2 linked regions of the Anolis sagrei genome follow. The protein of the gene in region 1 purifies or fractionates together with the protein of each later gene. This does not show direct contact. Links are inferred from orthologs where the notes say so. Each region holds a gene or a part of one and is shown on either strand. Other genes may lie near its edges.

Region 1 (6,988 bases):
AGCCACCTCTCCACCAAAGTCAACATCGTCACCGAAATACAACACCGCCTGAGCTCTGCGAGTGCAGCATTTTTCCAAATGAAGCAGAGAGTGTTTGAGGACCGGGACATCCATAGGGAGACCAAGGTGCTTGTCTATAAAGCTATTCCCCTCCCAACCCTGCTCTACGCCTGCGAGACATGGGCAGTCTACAGACGTCACATGCCTCTGAAAAATCCTGCAAATCTCTTGGGAAGACAAGCAGACAAATATCAGCGTGCTGGAAGAAGCATTGAAGTGATGCTCCTCCGCCATCCACTCCGCTGGACTGGTCACGTTGTCCGGATGCCCGACCACCGTCTCCCAAAGCAGTTGCTCTACTCCGAACTCAAGAACGGACAACGGAATGTTGGTGGACAGGAAAAGAGATTTAAGGATGGGCTCAAAGCCAGCCTTAAAAACTCTGGCATAGACACTGAGAACTGGGAAGCCCTGGCCCTTGAGCGCTCCTGCTGGAGGTCAGCTGTGACCAGCAGTGCTGCAGAATTTGAGGAGGCATGAATGGAGGGCGAAAGGGAGAAGCGTGCCAAGAGGAAGGCACGTCAAGCCAACCCCGACCAAGACCACCTTCCACCTGGAAACCGATGCCCTCACTGCGGAAGGGAGAAGATGCAGATCAAGAATAGGGCTCCACAGCCACCTACGGGCCCAGCCCCAGGTTACCACTCTTGGAGGAACATCATCCTCGGACTATGAGGGATCACCTAAGTAAGTAAGGACAACTAGTTAAACGTGAGCCAACAGTGTGATGTGGTGGCAAAAAAAGCCAATGGGATTTTGGCCTGCATCAACAGGAGCCTAGTGTCTAGTTCCAGGGAAGTCGTGCTCCCCACGCTCTATGCTGCCTTGGTCAGACCACACCTGGAATCACACTGTGTCCAATTCTGGGCACCACAATTCAAGAGAGATATTGACAAGCTGGAATGTGTCCAGACAAAGAAGGTGACTCAAATGATCAAGGGTCTGGAGAACAAGCCCTATGAGCAGCGGCTTAAGGAGCTGGGCATGTTTAGCCTGAAGGAGAGAAGAATCATAGAATCCTAGAGTTGGAAGAGACCTCCTGGGCCATCATCCAGTCCAACTCCATTCTGCCAAGAAGAAGGAATGTTGCATTCAAAGCACCCCTGACAGATGGCCATCCAGCCTCTGTTTCAAAGCTTCCAAAGAAGGAGCCTCCACCACACTCCCCCCGGGGCAGAGAGTTCCACTGCTGAACATTCCTCACAGTCAGGAAGTTCTTCCTCATGTTCAGGTGGAATCTCCTCTCTTGTAGTTTGAAGCCATTGTTCCACTGCGTCCTAGTCTCCGGGGAAGCAGAAAGGAAGCTTGCTCCCTCCTCCTCCCTGTGGCTTCCTCTCACATATTCATACACGGCTCTCATCATATCTCCTCTCAGCCTTCTCTTCTTCAGGCTAAACATGCCCAGACTAAGAGTAGCCATGATCAGGATCATGTATAAATATGTGAGGGGAAGTCCTAGGGAGAGGGAACAAGCTTCCTTTCTGCTTCCTTGGAGGCTAGGACGCAATGGAGCCATGGTTTCAAAGTACAATAGCCATGGCTTCAAACTACAAGAGAGGAGATTCCATCTGAACGTGAGGAAGAACTTCCTGACTGTGAGAGCTGTTCAGCAGTGGAACTCTCTGTCCCGGTGGGAGAGTGGTGGAGGCTCCTTCTTTGTAGGCTTTTAAGCAGAGGCTGGGTGGCCATCTGTCAGGGGTGATTTGAATGCGATTGTCCTGCTTCTTGGTAGAAAGGGGTTGGACTGAATGGCCCAGGAGGTCTCTTCCAACTGTTTGATTCTAGGATTCTATGCATGTTTAGTCTGCAGAAGAGAAGGCTGAAAGGAAACATGAGGAAGGCCATGGATCAATATGTGAGGGGATGTTCTAGGGAGGAGAGGGCAAGCTTCCTTTCTGCTGCTCTGGAGGCTAGGACGCAATGGAGCCATGGGTTCAAGCTTATGAGATCCCACCTGAAGATGAGGAAGAACTTCCTAACTGTAAGAAGTGCTGTTCAGCAGTGGAACTCTTTGCCCCGGAGGGAGTGTGGTGGAGGCTCCTTCTATGGGGGCTTTGAAACAGAGGCTGGATGGCCATCTGTCAGGGGTGCTTTGAACGTGATTGTCCTGCTCCTTGGCAGAATGGGGTTGGACTGGATGATGGCCCACCAGGTCTCTTCCAGCTTGAGGATTCTATGAGCCGTGGCTCCTCTCCACTTTCCTCTCCCCTGAGGGCGAAAGAGGCCCGTCTCTCCAGGGTGCTCCTCCTTCGAGGGAGCCTCCTTCCTTCCTTCCTTCGGGGTCTCCAGGGCTGTGGCCCTCTGAGGGGGAGCCTCCCCTTCCTCCCCTGGACCCCTTCCACCTCAGACTCCCTCGCGCTCTCTACTTGTTTTGCCCAGATTGAGAGCCAGGGCGATTCCGGGCAAAGAGGCGCCAGGACTCTTCCTTTCTCTCTTCCTCCCTTGGGGCCAGGCCGGGCCTCCTTTCTCCCTGGGGCGCCCCTTGCAGGCACCAAGGAAGGAAGGAAGGAAGGCCTCCCTCCCTCCCTCCCGGATGGGCCTGATCGGCCTGGAGGAAAGGAACGAGGCGGAACTCACCCGGGGCCCGCGCCACCGTCGTCGTCCTCCTCCTCCTCCTCTTTCTTGCTCGGCTTCCCTTCTTGGCGGCTCCGGCTCCAAAATGGACGCCTCAAGGAGCGCAGCCGGAACCGGAAGCGGCGAGCCCCGGAAGCGGAAGGGGCGGAGCTTGAGGCGCTTCCCCGCCCGGGCCGGCGATGGAGGAGCCTCCGAGCGGCGGCGCCCTCCCCTCCCGGAGCCCCTCTCTTCCGCCGCCGCCGCCTCAGGAGGAGGAGACCCCCTCCCCGCCCGCGCAGCCCTGGGCCCGGCTCTCGGCCTGGCTGGAGTGCGCCTGCGCAGTCACCTTCGACCTGGAGCTCGGGCAGGCCATCGAGGTGGGAGGAGCGCGGGTGACGTCACGGCGCCCCCTGGCCCCGCCCCCTCGTCTGGCCCCGCCCCCTCCTCGCCGCTCTAACGCCCCTCCCTCCCTTCCCTTCTTCCCTTGCAGCTGGTCTACCCGCCGGAGCCGGCGCTCAGCGAGAAGGAGGTAAGCCCCGCCCACAGGGAGCCAGGCCACGCCCCCGGGGAGGGAGGCCACGCCCCATCAGGAACAGCCATAGGATTTAAAGGGGAAACACCAGGCCTGGGCCCACTGGGGACCTCCCTCTGGGGGTTTTGGACTACAACTCCCACAGTTCCTCACAGCCGGTGGGAGTTGTAGTCCAAAACCCCCAGAGGGAGGACCCCAGTGGGCCCAGGCCAGGGATAGATGCGGCTGGTGTTTGTAAACTCTCACAAACATTAAAAAGCTTCCCTTGGTTAGTTCACAATCGAATCCTGGGAGAGCGGGTTGAGCTCCCCCTGTCAGCTCCAGCTCCCCATGCAAAGGGGACCTGAGAGAAGCCTCCCTCCCACAAGGGTGGGAAAACATCTGGGCAGCGTCCCCGGGGCAATGTCCTTCCAGGCGACCAATTCTCTCACACCAGAAGCGACTTGCAGTTTCTAAAGCCACTCCCAACACACACACACACAAAATACACAACCATTTCTTCAACCTTTTGGAGAATAATAATAATAACAACTTGATTTTTATACCCCGCCAGCCATCTCCCCAAGGGGACTCGGGGCAGCTTACAAGGGACAACAATTACAGATAAAACACAATCAAATTAAAAACATCAGATAAAATATAAAGACAATCACAATTGTAAACAACAACAAAATAATATGGCTGAGAAAGAACACAGCCGCAGTCCAGGCTCCATGAATGTAGTTCAGCCTGGGGAGGGAGTTCCAGAGCCATGGGGGGGGGGCACCACTTGCACTTTGGCCCGGTTGCTTCCCTGCAAATCTGCCCTTTTCCCCATACTCCCAAAACACATTCTCTCCCTTCCTCTGAGAAAGGAGCAAGTGGCCAGGCTCTGCGTTGCATGGCAGACCGGCCTCCCTGCCAGACACACAACTCCTTCCCATGGAGAAGAGCTTGGTGGAGGCCAGACCAGGAATATTTTAGGAATATTACAAGGTCTCTTACGGAGCAGTATTTCTGCTGATTCTGTTCCAAGACGTTGAATAATAAATAAATAAATAAATAAACTTTATCTATAACCCGCCACCATCTCCCTAAAGGGGACTCGGGGCGGCTAACATGAGACCAAGCCCAAAAATAATATAGCAAAATAAAATACAACACAATAGAAAGATTACATCACAACAAAATACATAAAATAGCAAAGTAAAATAAACAGTGCAAAATGATATAATTAAACTGAGTTGTTATAGGTATTTCGGGCTATATGGCCATGGTCTAGAGCAGTGGTTCTCAACCTGGGGTCTCCAGGTGTTTTTGGCCTACAACTCCCAGGAACCCCAGTCAGTTTACCAGCTGTTAGGATTTCTGGGAGTTGAAGGCCAAAACATCTGGGGACCCACAGGTTGAGAACCACTGGTCTAGAGGTATTCACTCCTGACGTTTCGCCTGCATCTGTGGCAAGCATCCTCAGAGGTAGTGAGGTCTGTTGGAACTAGGAAAAGGGGTTTATATATCTGTGGAAAGCCTTCAACAATACATTGATATAATAAAAGTCAATCACAAAGGGCGGGCCAAATGCACAAGATAAAATATTAAAGCCTTGGATGAGGTCGGGATAGAAGAATTGTATTTGTGCGGGAGGAGCCAAGGAGGAGGAGCAGTGACGGGGTTTGGCCTTCATTAGGAAGGCCAAACACAGTCAAATAGGAAGCCACAGGGAGGAGGAGGGAGCAAGCTTGTTTTCTGCTTCCCTGGAGACTAGGACGCAAGGGAACAAGGGCTTCAAACTACAAGAGAGGAGATTCCACCTGAACATGAGGAAGAACTTCCTGACTGTAAGGAGAGCCGTTCAGCAGTGGAACTCTCTGCCCCGGAGCGTGGTGGAGGCTCCATCTTTGGAAGCTTTGAAACAGAGGCAGGATGGCCATCTGTCAGGGGTGCTTTGAATGCAAGATTCCTGCTTCTTGACAGAATGGGGTTGGACTGGATGAGGGCCCACCAGGTCTCTTCCAACTCTAGGATTCTAGGATTCATTAAGGACGGGGGAAAGTGCCTCATGAGGACAACTGTAGATGGGAACAAACACAAAATGGGTGAAAGGGTCACTCTCCGAAGACAGTTGAAGAAGGTGACTCCCATCGGTTCCTGGGCAGATGCTGACTTTCCTTAACTGACCCTTGGTTTCCCTTCTCAAGGAGCCTTGCTGGCTTCCTTCTTAACGTAAGGAACCTTGTAAACATTCCCTTAACTTCAGGAGCCATTGCCTCTGATGACGTAAACACGACATTTTTCATCCAAAGTTTAGCAGTTAATCATTTCTCTGTGGTCGTCAGCAGTTGAGCAACTTTTAATTACGGTTCAGCAGTGTAGTTGTGTTCCAGGCCTTCGTATTTCAGAATTGTGTTTTCAGCACAGTGGGGGCCCCTTCATCCCCCTCCCACACAATTCCCTTCAAGCCCTGCATCCTCTTTCTCTCCCCCCCCCCCCCCACGCTGTGGCCACCCCCAGCCTCACCTCACTTCCTCTGATCTTTCTGCAGAAGACCAGCATCTGCTACCTGGCCTTCCCGGATTCCTATTCAGGTGAGTGGAGAAGGGGGCACGGAAGGGGGCCAAAGGGAGCCTCGGGGGGGGGGGGGGGGAGAGGCAGCCAGAAGGGGTCCTCTCTGCCTCTGCCCCCCCCCTCACCTGCCACTCCCTTCCATCTCCCTTCCTTCCTTCCTTTGCCAGGGAGCCTGGGGGACACGCAGTACTGCTTCCGCTTCCGCCAGTCCGGGTCCCGCCTCCGGGAGCGCCCCTGGGCCCAGAGCGCCACCGCCTGCCGCAAGGAGGCCCCCGCCGCCCTGCAGGTCAGGAACACAGGGGCCCCGCCTGGGGATTGGGCCCAAAATGGGGGCCACAAAGCCTCAAGGGCCTCCTTCTTCCTCCCCTTCTCCCTCCCAGCAGGAGACGGCCCACTACTTTGGCTACGTCTACTTCCGGCAGGTCAGGGACTCCTCCGTCAAGAGGGGGTACTTCCAGAAGGTGAGTGGCCACCGTGTCCCCCCAACCCCCCCCCCCCCATGCGTGCACATCCACGGGCCCAGCAGGACCCCTACAAGGGGGATTGTATCTCCGAGAGCGACACAGACACTTCTCTCTTCACGTGTGTGCGTGTTTCTCCCCCCCCCCCCCTCTGCCTCCGTGTCGCAGTCCTTGGTGCTGGTCTCCCGCCTACCCTACGTGAACCTCTTCCAGTCTCTGCTGCAGCTCATTGCCCCCGAGTACTTTGACAAGCTGGAGCCCTGCCTGGAGGCCGGTGAGGAGGAGGAGGGGCACTTTGCAGGGGGCACTTTGGGGGGGGGGGAGCCTCCTGGGCCATGTCTGTGGGGCAGAGGCTGCCGATTTGCTGGCTTTGTCCAGCCTGAAGGGTCCGTGGTGGGGAGGGGGCACACGCCACCTTTCCTGGCCTGGGTGAGAGGGGGGGGCCACGGGCTGTGAGGCAGCCTGGCTTGTGTTGCCAGCAGAGCCTGAGCAGAAGGGGGGGGGGGGGTCCCCAGTCCCTGGCTAGAGGTGGTGGGCTCAAGTGGCCCAGCACTTTGCAAGGGGGCACTTTGGGGGGGGGGAGCCTCCTGGGCCATGTCTGTGGGGCAGAGGCTGCTGATTTGCTGGCTTTGTCCAGCCTGAAGGGTCCGTGGTGGGGAGGGGGCACACGCCACCTTTCCTGGCTTGGGTGAGAGGGGGGGCCCACGGGCTGTGAGGCAGCCTGGCTTGTGTTGCCAGCAGAGCCTGAGCAGAAGGGGGGGGGATCCCCAGTCCCTGGCTAGAGATGGTGGGCTCAAGTGGCTTTGTCCAGCCTGAAGGGTCTGTGGTGGGGAGGGGG
Region 2 (7,355 bases), on another chromosome or scaffold:
AGCCCCTCAATCTGGAGGGAGAGGCAGAGCGAGGTGCAGCACTAGACAGTGCCCAAGAAATAGTGTTGCCACTTGGATCCCAAGCCTGCCTTTAAGACAGATAGAGGAATTGTACCGAATTTTCCTTTCACAACAGAGGAGCGGAGAGGAGAAACGACCTCTGGAGAAAAAAAATCTTCCTTGCTCCACTTCCTGGAGAAGAGAGCATGCATCTACATTGCAGAATTAATGCCATTTGACACCACTTGAACTGCCATGGCTCAATGCTATGGAAGGATGTTACACTGAGGAGGGGGCAAGCTTGTTTTCTGCATATCTGGAGACTAGGACACAGAGCAGTGGATTCAAATTGTGGGAAAAATTATTCCACCTGAACATTTGGAAGAACTTCCTGAAGGTAAGAGCAGTGGAATGTGCTACCTCAGAGTGTGGTGCAGTCTCCTTCTCTGGATGTTTTTAAGCAGAGGTTGTATGGCCATCTGTTGGGGGTGCTTTGATTATGTGCATGGCAGAATGGGATTGGACTGGATGATGAGTTACTGTGAGTTTTGCAGATAACTACAGCTTGTAGAATTACAAAGTAGGAAAGATTGCAAAAATCATCCAATCCTGGGCTGATGTGAGTTATCCGGGCTGCATGGCCATGTTCCAGAAGCATTCATAGAATTATAGAGCTGGAAGAGACCTTGTGGGCCATCCAGTCCAACCCCCTGCCAAGAAGCAGGAAAACTGCATTCAAAGCACCCCCAATGGTCATTCTCGCCTGACGTTTCACCCACATCTACAGCAGCACCTTCAGAGGTTCTGAGGTATATTGGAACTAAGTGAGAGAGGTTTATATATCTGTGGAAGATCCAGAGATGGAGAAAGAACTCTTGTATGTTGGAGGCAAGTGTGAATGGTGCAATTAATCACCTTGACTAGCATTGAAAAGCCTTGCAGCTTCAAAGCCTGGCTGCTTCCTGCCTGGGGGAATCCTTAGTTGAGAGGCCTGATTTTTCTTGTCTGGAATTCCTGTGTTTTCAAAGTGTTTTTCTTTATTTGCTGATGTGATTTTAGAGTTTTTTTAAAAATACTGATAGCCAGATTTTGTTCATTTTCATTGTTTCCTTCATCCAGTCCGTTGTAGGAACCACTGAGTTGCTATCAGTTTGTCAAGCTTATGGCCATGCTCCAGCAGCATTCTCTCCTGACGTTCCGCTGCATCTTCAGATGAGCCTCTGAAGATATCAGCCACATCTGAAGGTTCGTCTGAAGATGCCAGCCACAGATGCAGGTGAAACTTCAGGAGAGAATGCTGCTGGAGCATGGCCATAAGCCTGAAAAACTGATAGCAACTTAGTGATTCCTACAATCACGGAGGAGAGGATGCTGCTGGAGAGGATGCTGCAGGAACATGGCCATACAGCCTGAAAAACTCACAGCAACCCAGTGATTCCCAGAACGGATTGGATGACCTTTGTGGTTTTTCCAACTCTGTAATTCTTTTTTTTCCCTCCATGTCAGGAGAAACTTGAGAAACTGCAAGTCACTTCTGGTATGAGATAATTGGCCATCTGCAAGGACATTCCCAGGAGACACACGGATGTTTTTGATGTTTTACCCTCCTTGTGGGAGACTTCTCTCATGTCCATGCATGGGAAGCTGAAGCTGACAGAGGGCGCTCCCCGGATTCAGCTAGCACAAGGGTTTAACCCATTGCACCATGGGGAATCCTGTGATTATGTATTGTTGAAGGCTTTCATGGCAGGAATCACTGGGTTGTTGCAGGTTTTTTAGGCTGTATGGCCATGTTCTCTTCTGACGTTTCGCCTGCATCTGTGGCAAGCATCTTCAGAGCCTCAGCTTAAGCGGCTGAGGGGGGGAAGGAAGGGGCCTGAGGCTCTGATGATGCTTGCCACAGATGCAGGCGAAACGTCAGGAGAGAATGCCTCTAGAATATGGCCATACAGCCCAAAAAAAATCTACAACCTAGATTCCGTGATTCTTTAAATAATCCAAAGGATACTAGTTGTTGGAAATTACAACCTCTAGTAATTTGATCTCTAAAAGATCATGCTTTCCTAAAACTGGTGCCTTTCCAAACTACAACTCCGGGGATGACATAGCATGGGGCCAGTGAAGTTCAAGCGGTGTCCAACTGCATTAGTTCGACAGTGCAGACGCGCCCTGAGGCGGCGGCGGTGGCGGCGACGAGGCTCCCTCCCCGAATGCGGCCTTGGCATCATGGCCGGGGGAGGGGGCGCCGTGGAAGGCAACCCGGCAAGGACTGGAAAAGAAGGAAGGAAGGAAGGAAGGAAGGAAGGAAGAAAGGAAGAGCAAGAGAAGGGACGCCGCGTTCTCCCTGGGGCGCCAGGGCTCAATGCTATGGAATCCTGGGAGCTGTGGCTTTTTGTTGACGCGCTTTCATCCCTCTTGGGCTGAAGGCCTTGCAAAGTGGGTCCGCTAGCCTCGAGCCATGGCCGCGAGAGCGGGGCCAAACTGCGTCCATCCACAGTGAGGAGAGGAGGAGGAGGAGGGAGGCCTGCCTGCCTGCCGCGCTGCTGCGCCTCCTTGGGCGGGAAAGGCGGGCGTTGCCGAGGCCCGCCTTCCTCCTCCTCTCCTTCTCCTGGCTTCCCCCACTGAGGAGGGGGTTCCTCTGGGGCGGCGGGGCCAAGGAGGCTGGGGGAGGCGGGGAGGGGAGTTTCCCGCCGAGCGAGGAAGGGGCGGCTCCGGACTAGGCCGCGCATCCCCAGGCTCGCGTGGCGGGCGCGGCCGGGAGGGAGGGGGAGGCCTCGGCGTTCCCGCGGGATACCTGGTCCGTGATGCTGAGGATCCCCATCTCCGGGCGGGGCCGCCCCCACCTCGCTCAGCAGCAGCAGGAGCGCCGCCACCGCCGCCTCCGCGCTCCCGGCATCGATGGCGCTTCAGTGGCCGCCGCGGCACGCAGGCAAGCAAGCAGGCAGGCTCCCGGAGAGGCAGCGCCGAGGCAGGAGCAGCAGCAGAGGGAGGAGGAGGAGGAGGAGGAGGAGGAGGAGGAGGAGGAGGGACTGAGCCCGCCCTCCCTTCGCAGGAAGGCAGGCAGGCAGGCGGGCGAGAAAGAGAGCAGGCCCCGCCGGGAGAGCGCCCCTAGCGGGCCGGCCCCGCCACTGCAGGCCCCGGAGCAGAAGGAGGCAGGCGAGTCTGAGCTCACGGCCCTCGGAGAACAGCCATTGTGCGCATGCGCTGACCCGGCAAATCTGTGTATTGTGCTCCTTCCAGCAGATGATGCCACTTTGATGCTCGAAAGCGAGGAGGAGCTGAGCAGCCTTCTTGTTAAATTGCATACACTTGGCAAGTTGCATACACAAGGTGAAAGAAGAATGTGCAAAGGCTGGGTCGCAGTTAAACATCAAAAAAACCAAGATTCTGGCAACCAGACTGATTGATAACTGGCAAGCAGAAGGAGAAAACGTGCAGGCAGTGACAGACTTTGTATTTCTAGGAGCAAAGATAACTGCAGATGCAGACCTCAGCCAGGAAATCAGAAGACGTTTGCTTCTTGGGAGGAGAGCAATGCCCAATCTTGATAAAATAGTGAAGAGTAGAGACATCACACTGGCAACAAAGATCCGCATAGTTAAAGCAATGGTATTCCCAGAGGCAGCCCTAGGTAATTTTCAACGTAAGCAAACAATATTTTGGTCCCCCCACCCCAACCAATCACTGATCTATATTTTCTGTTCGTTGTGGGAGTTCTGTGTGCCATATTTGGTTCAATTCTATCATTGGTGGAGTTCAGAATGCTCTTTGATTTTAGGTGAACTATAAATCCCAGTAACTACAACCGAACTCACATATGTCAAGGTCTATTTTCCCCCAAGAGCGCCTCAAGAGCGCCCCTGGCCAAAATCAACTATACTGCGAATGCTTACTTTGTGTAATGGGTTGAGCCGCCCCTGGGTATTCCCCATAGAAACCTATGGATGTGAGAGCTGGGCCATAAGGAAGATAGACACTGTTGAACTGTTGTGTTGGAGGAAAATTGAGAGAGTGCTTTGGACCATAAGAAGTCCATACTCCAGGAAATAATACCCAGCTGCTCACTGTAGGGAAGGGTAGTAGAGACAAAGATGAAGTACTTTGGCCACATCCTGAAGACAGGAAAGCTTGGAGAAGATCATGATGCTGGGGAAAATGGAAGGAAAAAGGAAGAGGGGCCAACCAAGGGCAAGATGGGTAGATGGCATCCTTGAAGGGACTGGCTGGACCCTGAAGGAGCTGGGGATGGTGACAGCTGACAGAGAGCTCTGGCGTGGGCTGGCCCATGAGGTCACGAAGAGTCAGAAGCAACTGAACAAATGAACAACAACAAAGAGACATCACCCTGGCAACGAAGATCCATATAGTTAAAGCAATGGTATTCTCCATAGTCACCTACGGATGTGAGAGCTGGGCCATAAGGAAGGCTGAGCGAAGGAAGATAGATGCTTTTGAACTGTGGTGCTAGAGGAAAATTATGAGAGTGCTTTGGACCATAAGAAGTCCATACTCCAGGAAATAATACCCAGCTGTTCACTGTAGGGAAGGATATTAGAGGCAAAGAAGAAGTACTTTGGTCACATCATGAGAAGACAGGAAAGCTTGGAGAAGATAATGATGCTGGGAAAAATGGAAGGAAAAAAGAAGAGGTACCGACCAAGGGCAAGATGGATGGATAGTACCTTTGAAGTGACTGGCTGGACCTTGAAGGAGCTGGGGGAGGTGTCACGAAGAGTTGGAAGGGAATGAATGAATGAATCAACAACAAAATAGCAGTGACTATAATCCCAACTCAGGAATGGAAAACAGAATGTTGGTGGTCTTCTTCTTCTTCTTTGCAATTCCTTCCCTCCTCCCTAACCCTTAACAGCCTATAAATCTATAATCTATTTAATTTCTTTTCTTTTTCTTTCTTCTTTTGTAACTCCCTCCCCCAATTATCTTAATATGGGTCTATTAAGATGGGTCTATACTACCATATAAAATGGTTTCGAACTGCATTATATAGCAGTGTAGATGGAGCCTAATCAACAGTCACATCCCAAGGTTTTGTGTGCCTAACCAGATGAGGTCCTAATGTTCAGTTCAAGAGTGAATACTTGAGACATAGGCCTGAAAGCAATAAACAACAATATAGGGCTATTAATATTGTCTGCTATTACCCATGTTAAAGACAAACTTTGAGTACACATTCACAGGATTAGGCTGTACAGACTACACTGTATACTGTGAAGAAGAAAATATATCTTTACAAATTGAAAGCTGGCATCACAGTTGTATTTGGCTGGCAATGTATGATACAATGTCTGATATAATGCTATGGAAGTGGGAAATTATGAGAAAGGTTTTATAAGGCTCGGTGTTTCATTTCAAAGGGGAAAGTGATTGTTTTACCCAGTATTACTCAAAATGGTAGTATGGGGCAAAGTGCCAATCTGCAAGCCATCATCTCCCGTACCACTGCAAGTTTTCCTGGAACAAAAGGAGAAAGAGAGCTGTAACCAATGAACACAAATATGTTGCTGAATCCTGAAACACGTGGGGGGTGTTGCTATTCCCCCACATCAGGAAGCCCCTAACTCCAATGAAGGTGAAGGGCTGACTGCACCATGTTGAAACTTGAATATCTTCCAAGAAAATGTATGCATTACATAATTTTATTGCAGGGAAAGATGCTCTTCTCTGTTGTATTTATCTTTCACATACTGTATAAACATCGGTGGGAAGAGCCCACCAACCAAGACATTTTAAGAGGATGCTATTGATATTCTGCCCATGTTTTATTGCAGGAGAGGGCAGCTCTGGAAGGTGATGGTGGGTACATTAACCCCCTATGAGGCCTTGGATGGCTGTCCATGAAAAGCCACATTAGAGATGGGTGAACTCAGTCAAGAAAGCCATGGCCCTGAGTCTGAAAATCTGAGCAGGGATGTTGATGTCCATCTGCACTTTGTTTGACACCACTTTAACAGCCTTGATAGAGCCCCTGGTGGCGCAGTGGGTTAAACCCTTGTGCCAGCAGGACTGAAGACCGACAGGTCAGAGATTCAAATCCAGGAAGAGTGTGGATGAGTCCCTCTATCAGCTCCAGCTCTCCATGCGGGGACACGAGAGAAGCCTCCCACAAGGGTGGTAAAACATCAAAACATCCGGGTGTCCCTTGGGCAATGTCCTTGCAGACGGCCAATTCTCTCACACTAGAAGCGGCTTGCAGTTTCTCAAATCAGACCTGACACGGCAAAACAAAAACAAAAACAAAAAAAACCCATCATTAGTTGACTGCTATGGGATCCTGGGAGTTGGAGTTTGGTGAGGCAACAGCACTCTGGCAGAGAAGGCTAAAGACCTTGTGAAATCACAACTCTCATGATGCCCTATCCTTGAGCCAGGGTAGTTAAAGTGGTATCAAATTGCATTAATTGTACAATGTGGATGTAGAGGACTCTCATTCATTGGGTCATTTACAACAACAACAACAACGAGGTGTTTTTTCAGCTCAGACTCAAGCTTTCAATAATTTACATGTGTTTATTACACCTTTCTATTTGGCAACAAAGTACCCATCCTCAAATACATGTGTTGCCTTTACAAGATGTGTTCCTGAAGTTACCTTTATTGCAGAGACCCAGTAGAGGGTGCTATACCTCTCCATTGGCATTCTCCGCTCCTCATTGAGAACTCCACTGTACTGCAAACAATAGATTGAAGGTTGCCAGCTTTCGCTTTCATATTATCCAGATATTAGCAGTGGTGTTTACCTTGATGCTGTGGAAAGCTTCGTATATCGTTTTTGGGATTAAGATACTATTCAATTAATATGGGAAGGCTAAGCTTTCCATGGCTAACTCTAGCATTAAATTATATTAGAGAAGGCCTTTTTGAAGAAAGACAAAAGAGCTGAAGCACAGTTGGCTGAGCAATTTGACCATATCCTTGTGAGATGGGGTGAGGCCTGCTTTGTGAAATGGGAGCAAGACTATCTCCAGCATTAGTCACAAAGAGGCAAGCCTCATATATCAGATGCTGTGAATCCCTATTGTCAAGGGAAAGGCAGGATAAAAAAATAAAATAAATTAATAAAGATTTGGGCAACCTCAGCGGGACAGATCCCATATTCCTTCTGTGCTTATTTTGTTCAATATTGAAGTAGAGTAGCCCTCTGTATCTGTTGGAATTTAGTTCCAGGCACGTCTCCCCCCCCCCCCCCCCCGTGAATACCAAAATCCATGGATGCTCAGGTGTCCTTACATACAATGATGTAGTAGAATAACACAACTTATTTAAACTGGAGACCAACTCTGATGAATGTCAGAGAGAACCTATGGATCTGTGAAATGGCAGGAAGTAATAGCAAA

What was found. The genes of interacting proteins can lie anywhere in the genome.
Region 2: the proteins of PPP6R2 (region 1) and ANKRD52 purify together in Homo sapiens (affinity purification with mass spectrometry; 3 studies listed by BioGRID and IntAct, counting the BioPlex papers as one, with this or other methods). This does not show direct contact. The link is inferred for Anolis sagrei from reciprocal best matches to the Homo sapiens genes PPP6R2 and ANKRD52.

The regions. Positions count from the first base shown.
Region 1 is NC_090025.1:200,515,140-200,522,127, reverse strand, and holds the start of PPP6R2 (serine/threonine-protein phosphatase 6 regulatory subunit 2), read right to left. Parts: upstream 3,009-6,988; 5' UTR 2,991-3,008; coding exon of another isoform or gene 2,814-2,990; exon of another isoform or gene 2,638-2,813; intron 1-2,637. Other genes in the region: protein DENND6B, read left to right, coding at 2,814-2,990, 3,104-3,142, 5,667-5,709, 5,857-5,975, 6,070-6,150, 6,319-6,424. UniProt on the Homo sapiens protein: Regulatory subunit of protein phosphatase 6 (PP6). May function as a scaffolding PP6 subunit. Involved in the PP6-mediated dephosphorylation of NFKBIE opposing its degradation in response to TNF-alpha.
Region 2 is NC_090022.1:138,444,246-138,451,600, reverse strand, and holds the start of ANKRD52 (serine/threonine-protein phosphatase 6 regulatory ankyrin repeat subunit C), read right to left. Parts: upstream 3,002-7,355; 5' UTR 2,822-3,001; coding exon 2,795-2,821; intron 1-2,794. UniProt on the Homo sapiens protein: Putative regulatory subunit of protein phosphatase 6 (PP6) that may be involved in the recognition of phosphoprotein substrates.